Danio rerio: one gene and its partner. The protein of the gene in region 1 purifies or fractionates together with the protein of each later gene. This does not show direct contact. Links are inferred from orthologs where the notes say so. Each region holds a gene or a part of one and is shown on either strand. Other genes may lie near its edges.

What was found.
Region 2: the proteins of wipf1b (region 1) and nck1b purify together in Homo sapiens (co-immunoprecipitation; 5 studies listed by BioGRID and IntAct, with this or other methods). This does not show direct contact. The link is inferred for Danio rerio from reciprocal best matches to the Homo sapiens genes WIPF1 and NCK1.

Annotation. Positions count from the first base shown.
Region 1 is NC_133181.1:11,765,428-11,769,822, reverse strand, and holds the start of wipf1b (WAS/WASL-interacting protein family member 1), read left to right. Parts: upstream 1-1,416; 5' UTR 1,417-1,479; intron 1,480-1,726; exon of another isoform or gene 1,727-1,738; 5' UTR 1,739-1,812; intron 1,813-4,395. UniProt on the Homo sapiens protein: Plays a role in the reorganization of the actin cytoskeleton. Contributes with NCK1 and GRB2 in the recruitment and activation of WASL.
Region 2 is NC_133199.1:3,692,731-3,697,038, reverse strand, and holds the start of nck1b (SH2/SH3 adapter protein Nck1), read left to right. Parts: upstream 1-1,385; 5' UTR 1,386-1,423; intron 1,424-2,588; coding exon of another isoform or gene 2,589-2,665; intron 2,666-4,205; coding exon of another isoform or gene 4,206-4,250; intron 4,251-4,308. Other genes in the region: wdr37 (WD repeat-containing protein 37), read right to left, coding at 409-550, 1,151-1,385, 2,589-2,665, 4,206-4,250. UniProt on the Homo sapiens protein: Adapter protein which associates with tyrosine-phosphorylated growth factor receptors, such as KDR and PDGFRB, or their cellular substrates. Maintains low levels of EIF2S1 phosphorylation by promoting its dephosphorylation by PP1.

The DNA of each region.
Region 1 (4,395 bases):
AAGTCTTTGGATGCCTACAATTTTGTTCTGTGTGGTCATGTGCAGGAAATAATGTTCTATGATTACCAGACTCAAAACGGTAGTGATAAAAACCGAGGTTCTGCCTAGCCAAAGACAAGGAAAGACGACGGAACTGTACAAGGCCTGGGTAATCACCAACAAGCAAAATAACTGCATTCTGACAGCGAAATCCACCTGTACGGCAGGGTATGTGAATGTACATTTTTACATTTTATTCTAAGCATTCACTGTCCGCAGTTTAATTAACCAAATTTAACTGTTTGTTAAATCATTGCTGCAATCAAAAACGAGTAATGAGTATGATTCAGCATAGAGTGTACTTACTTGATATAACATAAGAACTGCAGAGTCGAGCATTTTTAATTAGGTCCTCACACCATTCAGCTCTCCTGATGGCTGTTTGTCAAAGATGTCTGCAGTTGGCATTAAAAGCTGTGTGGTGTTTGGAGTTTGGGCTTAATTTATTTTTTATTTAATTAATTTAATTTAATATTTAAAATAATTTCATATTTAATTTAGAATTTGGCATCCTACCGCACAACACGACATGTTTGCTATTGCAACTGGTCTTTTTTGCAACCGGAATGCCTGGTTGAACCTGTGTGACGTCATCTGTGACATAAATTGATAATTCCTATATAGTCTTATAATAATGTAATGTTATGTAATAATAATATTACAAAATAAAATATCCATCATTGAGTGGTCCAGCAGTCATATTTATAAAAAAATGAATGCATTATTTTTACTTGCAAATTCATTTTTTTAAAAACACATTTAAAATGTAGAAAAGAAGATTGAGTGATATAACAAACAGCAATATAGATAAAAAATAAATAAGAGTAGAAAGGGTGCATTTCAGGACTTGGGCCGCATGGCTGGAATTGCTTGGGGCCCCAAAAACATGAAATCTACCCCTTGCTGTATGTCTATGGGAAATCCTCATAACAATAAAAAAACTAAATGTTGTGTGCTTGGACTGACAAAATTTGCACTTTATTAGAAGCAACTTGACAAAACAGTCACCATTTTGGTACTGTAAAAAGCATGCACGTGATAGAAGAAGACAAGCTAATCCAGCACAAAATATTTCATAAAATATCATCAAAATGGTCTACTTTTAGAGAAAAAGACAACCCCCCCCCCCCCCCCCCCCCACTCGCTACGGATACTGTTGTATTCTTAATCAAATAGTTGCAACATTTAAACAACAAAAGAGTTTTCTGTCAAAAAACATTATTTTATTTAGCTTTTTCCAAAATGTGACTGACATGTCTGTGACTTTTCCCCACACAGAGCTCAGTTTTGTGTCACACACACACTTGCAACAGTTTGACAGATGTTTGAGCTCAGTCAGTCAGTCAGTCAGTCAGTCACATCTGGACGTTGCATCACAGACGAATGTCCCGGATAAAGAGAACGAAGAGTCTGCTGTTCTGCTGGAGGAAGAAAAACTGGGTAAAGAAACGAATTAAAAAGATATCGCGTCCAATTCAAGACATTGGGTTGTACTTCTCTCATTTAAAGAGATGTGATACTGCTTATATGTGCTGAATTGCTACTTGCGGCGTTCAAGCGATGAGCTTTGAATGTTTATTCCAGCTAATGTGATGGACTTGTAGGCAGGACGCTGGGCGGAAACAGCGGGGAGAACTTGCGTGTGTGTTTCTGCCATGAAGGAGTGGCCCAAAACTTGTGTTCCTCTGTGTTTGTGTAGATGCTTGATGAGGATGAGTGTTGCTGCGTTCGGTTCGTAAGCGGTGGACGCGCAGTAAAAGACGCAAAGCACCGGTAAGTGTTTACGCAGACTGTTGCTGTATAAAACGCTCGAGTTATGGATGTAGTCTGTGATTTGACCTTGCTGTGCATTTCTTAACGCAGCCTACTTGTAGTGTTGAGTCAGTTTTCAGTGTGTGGATGAGGTGTTCAGTTTAAATAGCTATTTTCCTCCACAAAAGCACAAGCAGTGCCAACTTTTGGGGGAAGCAAAGTCTCCCCCACTTCCTGGGTTGCCAGTTTGAGCGTATATTTGTGGCAGGGTTAATAAGGTTGTTTTCTCCTGTAGTTTAGACACACAAGGCAGCTTCTTAAAACAAAATACTGCAAATTCTTATAAAGAACAGTTGACATATCAAGTTCATCCATTCTGATAGCTGCAAGCGAGTTCTTATTGGCTAACGAATCGTTCTTTTGAGCCGAATCTTTAATTGAATCGGCTAAAAATAGAACCGAGCGATTTGTTTTGACGTTCTGGTGTTCAATTCTTAACTTTTGGATAAATTTGTATAAACAAAAGCGTATTCAAATTAATTAAATATATAGGACATTATCAACCACAGTAATCGTTTAACTTGAATTGTTCAACTGACTGTGAAACGACCATTCAAAAGAACCGATTCATAGAGTAACTCGAACTAGTAGGAGCATGTGTTTGTAATTGAAAGGCCATGGGGTCTCCACAGTGAGATGCAATGCAAGTCATATGCTTTGCTCCTTCCTTTTTTTCTTTCATCTTTTTCTCCTTGTGAATTAAAAACCTCATTATTTTGTGCCACCAGTGTCACGAGTTATTTCAAATGCAGTGTCCGCTCAGTTCTTTAAAATGGTTACCTCAGATTAGAATTAGTTGGTATTGGGTTCAATAGGTTAGTTATTGTCAGTTTGTTTGACAGTTGACTGTTTTGTTCATTGGAAACTGTTAAGTGAGCTTTTTTCTTGCATTAAACACTTTTATGAGGCTGTAAATGCTAATGTTAATGTGCAGTTGAGCTCTCGATGTATTTCATGTGGTTTTCTGCAAGTGTGAAAGTGTGACACTTAAGCAATGGTTTTAAAATCACAGAGTGCTACTATTGAAAGCATGAGCTTAGCTGTGCAGTGTTTAGTTTAGTTTAGTCAAATTAGAATGCATACGAGTTCCCTCTCTGCATTAACTTCCCCTCTTTGACAGAAGTACTGTCATCACTTCTACTTCTCTCTTGTCTGGTTAATGTTCTGTCTATTTGACCAGTGATTTGAAGAGAGTCTGAAATCATGTGACCGACAGAATCTGAGATCATCCGTTTGCTACAGAGCTGCAGGCAGCCAGAAGTGTCAACATTATGCTGAGTTTCAGAAAGGAAGTGGACAATACTGCCTACTAAGTGATGGAAAGACAGAATCAGAGACAGCGGGCACATTATGTGCTTGAACACGCTCATATTATGCTAGCTGAGCGAGCTGCTCTTTTGCTTCTGATGTGGTGTTGCAAGCAAACATTGCAAAGTGCAAATGACAGAAATTCTGCTTTACAGTAAGATATGACGCTTTCAAATAAACTACCGTTCGTTTCTCTGTGGGCGGCCCCTTCCTGCCTCATTCTGCATGTGTGATCTAGCAGGTTGTGGTTGAAGGAATCCACCCGTCAGTTCTTACTTGAGGTAATATTATTTGAAAAAAAAGTTGATTTCATGTTCAGGGTCTTTGAGTGCATCTCAAAAATGCACGTTCACATTTTCACTTGCTTTTGTAAGCAAGTGTGCTTGTGTTCTTTAATGAGGGAAAGAATTAAAAACATCAGATAAAGCACATACATATTCAGTTACTGATTTAAAGATGCTGAATGTATGTATATAAGACAAAACACACACACACACTTACCGGCCACTTTATTAGGTATGTTAGGCTTATTAATGCAAATTTCTAATCAGCCAATCACATGGAAGCAACTCAATGCATTTAGGCATGTAGACATAGTCAAGATGATCTGCTGCAGTTCAAACCTCAGAGCATCAGAATGGGGAAGAAAGGTGATTTTGAATGTGGCATGGTTGTTGGTAATCTGAGTATTTCAGAAACTGCTGATCTACTTGGATTTTCATGCACAACCATCTCTAGGGTTTACAGAGAATGGACCAAAAAAAAAAGAAAATATACAGTGAGCGGCAGATCTGTGGGCACAAATGCATTGTTGATGCCAGAGGAGAATGGCCAGACTGGTTCCAGCTGATAGAAAGGCAACAGTAACTCCAATAACGACTCGTTACAACCGAGGTATGCAGAAGAGCATCACTGAACACACAACACATCAAAATTGAGACGGACAAGCTACAGCAGCACAAGACCACATGGGGTGCCACTCCTGTCAGCTAAGAACAGGAAACTGAAGCTACAATTCACACAGGCTCACCAAAATTGGACAATAGAAGAAGAGAAAAACATTGCCTAGTCTGATGAGTCTCGATTTCTGCTGCGACATTTGGATGGCAGAGTCATAATTTGGCGTTAACAACATGAAAGCATGGATCCATCCTTCCTTTTACCAGCATGTCAACGGTTCAGGCTGGTAGTGGTGGTGTAATGGTGTGGGGGATATTTTCTTGGCACACTTTGGGC
Region 2 (4,308 bases), on another chromosome or scaffold:
TGTGTTTGGCGTTGTAATTTTAATATCTTAATTCATTCATTTTTTTTAAAGTATGTTTAAATAATAAAATCATAACACTTTAAGAACTGAAAATGTTATTAAAATATGACTATGGAAAACATTTTGAAAAAATATTCATAACTTTATCTATGGTCTAATACAAAAATATGTATTTATTTAATAAATATATAATATTTATTAAAATATAATAATAATATTTATTATTGTTGTTGTTATTATATTATTATGTCATATTAAAAAATATTATACCATATTATTTCTATAAAAAGCACTTTAATTTACTCTAATATTAATATTTTACAAGCATACAGTAATTTAAAGTGACACCAAATGTTCATTTTGGCAGGTTGTTTATATGTCGACGGTCAATAAGATGATGTGACTCACTCGGTGTGGCCCTGGAAGACATTGACTGAGTGGATGGAGGGATCTCTGAAGTCCCACAGGCGGAAGGTGGTGTCTCTGGATGAAGTGACCACCAGACGCTGAGTCGGATGAGTGCAGCAGTGGGTCAACTCCTGATCGTGACCTGCAAACACACACAAACAGGTAATGGTGAGGGTTAGAGCTGGGGTAGAGGTTGATACAATACAACTGAGTTGTAGTTGAGGGTTTAACAAATAATAAACAAGGCAACTTTATTTATATTGCACATTTCACACACAATGGTAATTCAAAGTGGTTTACATGAACAAGAATAAAAGAAACGAGTATAAGAAATAAAAAACAACAAATATTAAAAACTGGTGGCTCAGTGGTCGCCTCACAGCAAGATCACTGGTTTGAGTCCCGGCTGGGTCAGTTAGAATTTCTGTGTGAAGTTTGCATGTTCTCCCCATGTTGGCATGGGTTTCCTCTGGGTGCTCCGGTTTCCCCCACAGTTCAAACACATACGCTATAGGGGAATTGGTGAACTAAAATGTGTGTATGAGTGTGTATGGGTGTTACAGCTGGAAGGACATACACTGTGTAAAACATATGCTGGAATAGTTGGTGGTTCATTCCACTGTGGCGACCCCTGATAAATAAGGGACTAAGCCAAAGAAAAATGAATGAATGAATTAAAATATCCATAATAACTCTCCTTAAACACATTAGTAAATGTTGATTTATTTCTCCTCATGTTCACCTGTCAGGGTGTGCACCAGCTCCGAGGTCTCCACATCGTACAGGTTTGCGGCTCTGTCCCAGGACGCAGTGACCACCTGCTTTCCTCCCACCAGCCAATCAGCGGCGATCACCACGCCTTGGTGGCTCTTCAAGGTGGTTGTGGCCACGCGGATGGTGGGGCATTCATTGGGTCCATCAGCGTCGCCGTCTGCCTCGTCTTTATCAGAGAAATCCACGTCATCGTCCAGCGAGGCCTGAGTCGCACAGGAAATGACAAGAGCAAATGTTTGAGGTAATTTGATTTCATTACCATTTCAGCATCTCCAGCTGTTATTATGACCAGAAAAACTGATCAAATTGACAAACATTTCATAAAAAATAAAACACTTTTCTATAATTAAAGGGTTTACAGTGCACAGGATAAATGAGTACACCCTTTACAGATCTCGCTTTTACATTCATATTATTTTCTATAGGATGCTTCACAATATTATACATATGGTTCTGTGGGTGGGTGAAGCAGTGGCGCAGTAGGTAGTGCTGTCGCCTCACAGCAAGAAGGTCGCTGGTTCCAGCCTCGGCTCAGTAGGCGTTTCTGTGTGGAGTTTGCATGTTCTGCCTGCGTTCGTGTGGGTTTCCTCCGGGTGCTCCGGTTTCCCCCACAGTCCAAAGATATGTGGTACAGGTGAATTGGGTAGGCTAAATTTTCCGTAGTGTATGAGTGTGTGTGGATGTTTCCCAGGAATGGGTTGCGGCTGGAAGGGCATCCACTGCGTAAAAACTTGCTGGATAAGTTGGCGGTTCATTCCGCTGTGGCGACCCCGGATTTATAAAGGGACTAAGCCGACAAGAAAATGAATGAATGGTTCTGTGGGTCTCGTCTATCAAATCTGAGATTCTGTATTGGATTTAGGTCAGATGATTGGCTGGGCCATTCTACAGCTTGATTTTCTTTCTCTGAAAGCATTTGAAAGTCTACTTGGTTATGGATCATTGTTTTGCTGAAATGTCCACCCTGGTTTCATCTCCATCATCCTGCTAATGTAGATGTTGGACTGAAGCAGCTGATATTCATTTACACTGAGGAAAAGCAGAGGGTTACTGAAGAACTACTGAGAGATTTCAGCTGCTGTCTGGGCTTTCCATGCATTTCCACACCTCCCTTCATGTGTTCAATACTTTTTACCTGTTTCGTTTTATTACACAGAACATTTTAGTATTACTAAATTGTATATTTATTATTACTAATATTACACTTACTGTTAACTAATTAGTTTGTGTGTACTGCGTTTGTGTGTACTGTATGCATTTGTGTACGCATCTGTCTGCCTTTGTGTGTATGTTTGTCTGTACACGTGTGTCATATGCGTCTAAGTGTATCTGTCTGCGTCTGCATGCGCGTGTGTGTACGCATGTCTCTGTGGGTGTTTGTGTGTGCGTGTGTGTTTAATACTCACGCTGATGTCTGCTGGAGGCTGTGGAAGTGGCAGTTGTACCATGTAACGCCAGATGTGAGCCGTCTGGTCCCCGGACGCTGTCAGGAACAGACAAAACAAACACAGAGGCAACATTAGCAAAAAGAAAAAAGCACAGCCATTGATCAAATCACATTTAAAAGCATCTGGGAAATACAAATCTATATGAAAGAGAGAAACATCTCAGTCTTAATGCAGTACAGCCCTCAGTCATGAAATAACTCCTCATTAGCAGCATCATGAGAGATCAGCAGACAATCACACACAGTTGAAGGCAATATTAAAAGCTCTCTTGTGAAATTGTAATATGTTTTTAAATCTATCCCGAGCACCGTTCAACACAGCAAAGGCATTTTCACAATATTTTTATAACATTTGTTATTATTATTTATTCATTTATTTCACTTCGGCTTAGTCCCTTTATTCATTAGGGGTCGCCACAGTGGAATGAACCGCCAACTTATCCAGCATGTTTTACACAGCTGATGCCTTTTCAGCCGCAACCCAGTACTGGGAAACACCCATACACTCGCATTCACACTCGTACACTACGGCCGACTAGATTTCTTGCGGTGCGGAGATAAATTTCCGAAAGAAGCGCAGGAGCGGTCGGTAACTGGTTTAATTTTGTACAGAAGCTCGCGGTCTAACAATATCACTCCTGACTCCTGAGCGAGCAAGCACGCGTATGTATGTATGTGTGTGAATGAGACAGCCTGATGCTGCGCTTAGCTTGTTTCTTGCTGTGTGTGTGTGTGTGTGTGTGTGTGTGTGTGTGTGTGTGTGTGTGTATATGAAAGAGAGAGCTTTGTGCTGTGTGTGTGTTTATGCGTGAATGCGTGAATGAGAGAAAGAGCGTGATGCTGTCTGTGTGTGTGTCACTTGCTTGGTGCTTGTGTGTGTGTTATAGTTTGTTATAGGCTGTCTGGACTCTGTATAGCTGGGGGGTTTTCGCTTTTGTTCTCCCCCTCGTCCGTTAGCGAAAATGGGCGCAACGGGTAGAAAACGGGGCGGGTTGGGCAGAGGGACAACAAATGCTAAATATAAGCGGGAGCGGTCGGGTTAGGGCTAAAACCTGGCGGGAGCGGGATTCAAAATTTAGTGCTGCGCAGATCTCTAGTTTGGACTGTGGGGAACACCAGAGCACCTGAAGAACACGGGGAGAACATGCAAACTCCACGCAGAAATGGCAACTGAGCTTGGATTTAAACCAGCGAAATTATAGAAATTAAGTTGCATTTATTTTTAAAAATATTTTAAAAATCTTAATTTAAAATTCAGACAATTGAGATTTTTCTGAATTAAAAATCCGACATTTTTATTTCATTAGATTTAAGCATATTCTTCTCCTTCAATTTTAACCATTTACAGATAGACAGACGAATATTACTGATCTGTGATATAAATGAAATAGGCGTTCTTTACAATCCAGTTGCTGGATTATATATTCTATACTGTGGAAATTGTTATTGTCAATTGATCATTTTAATAAAAATACATATTGATTCGTTTTTCACCAACATATATTAATAAACAAGACACAGAAATATAAGACATTGTGTAAAAAAAAGCAAACCATTAAAAAGTTTTTGTGTATACCTGTAAGCGCCATCTGCTCTGTGGGATGGAACTTAATGGAGTTCACTGCAAAAACAGACCGTAAACATTCACTGTACACAACAATCACCAATCCTACAGCTCG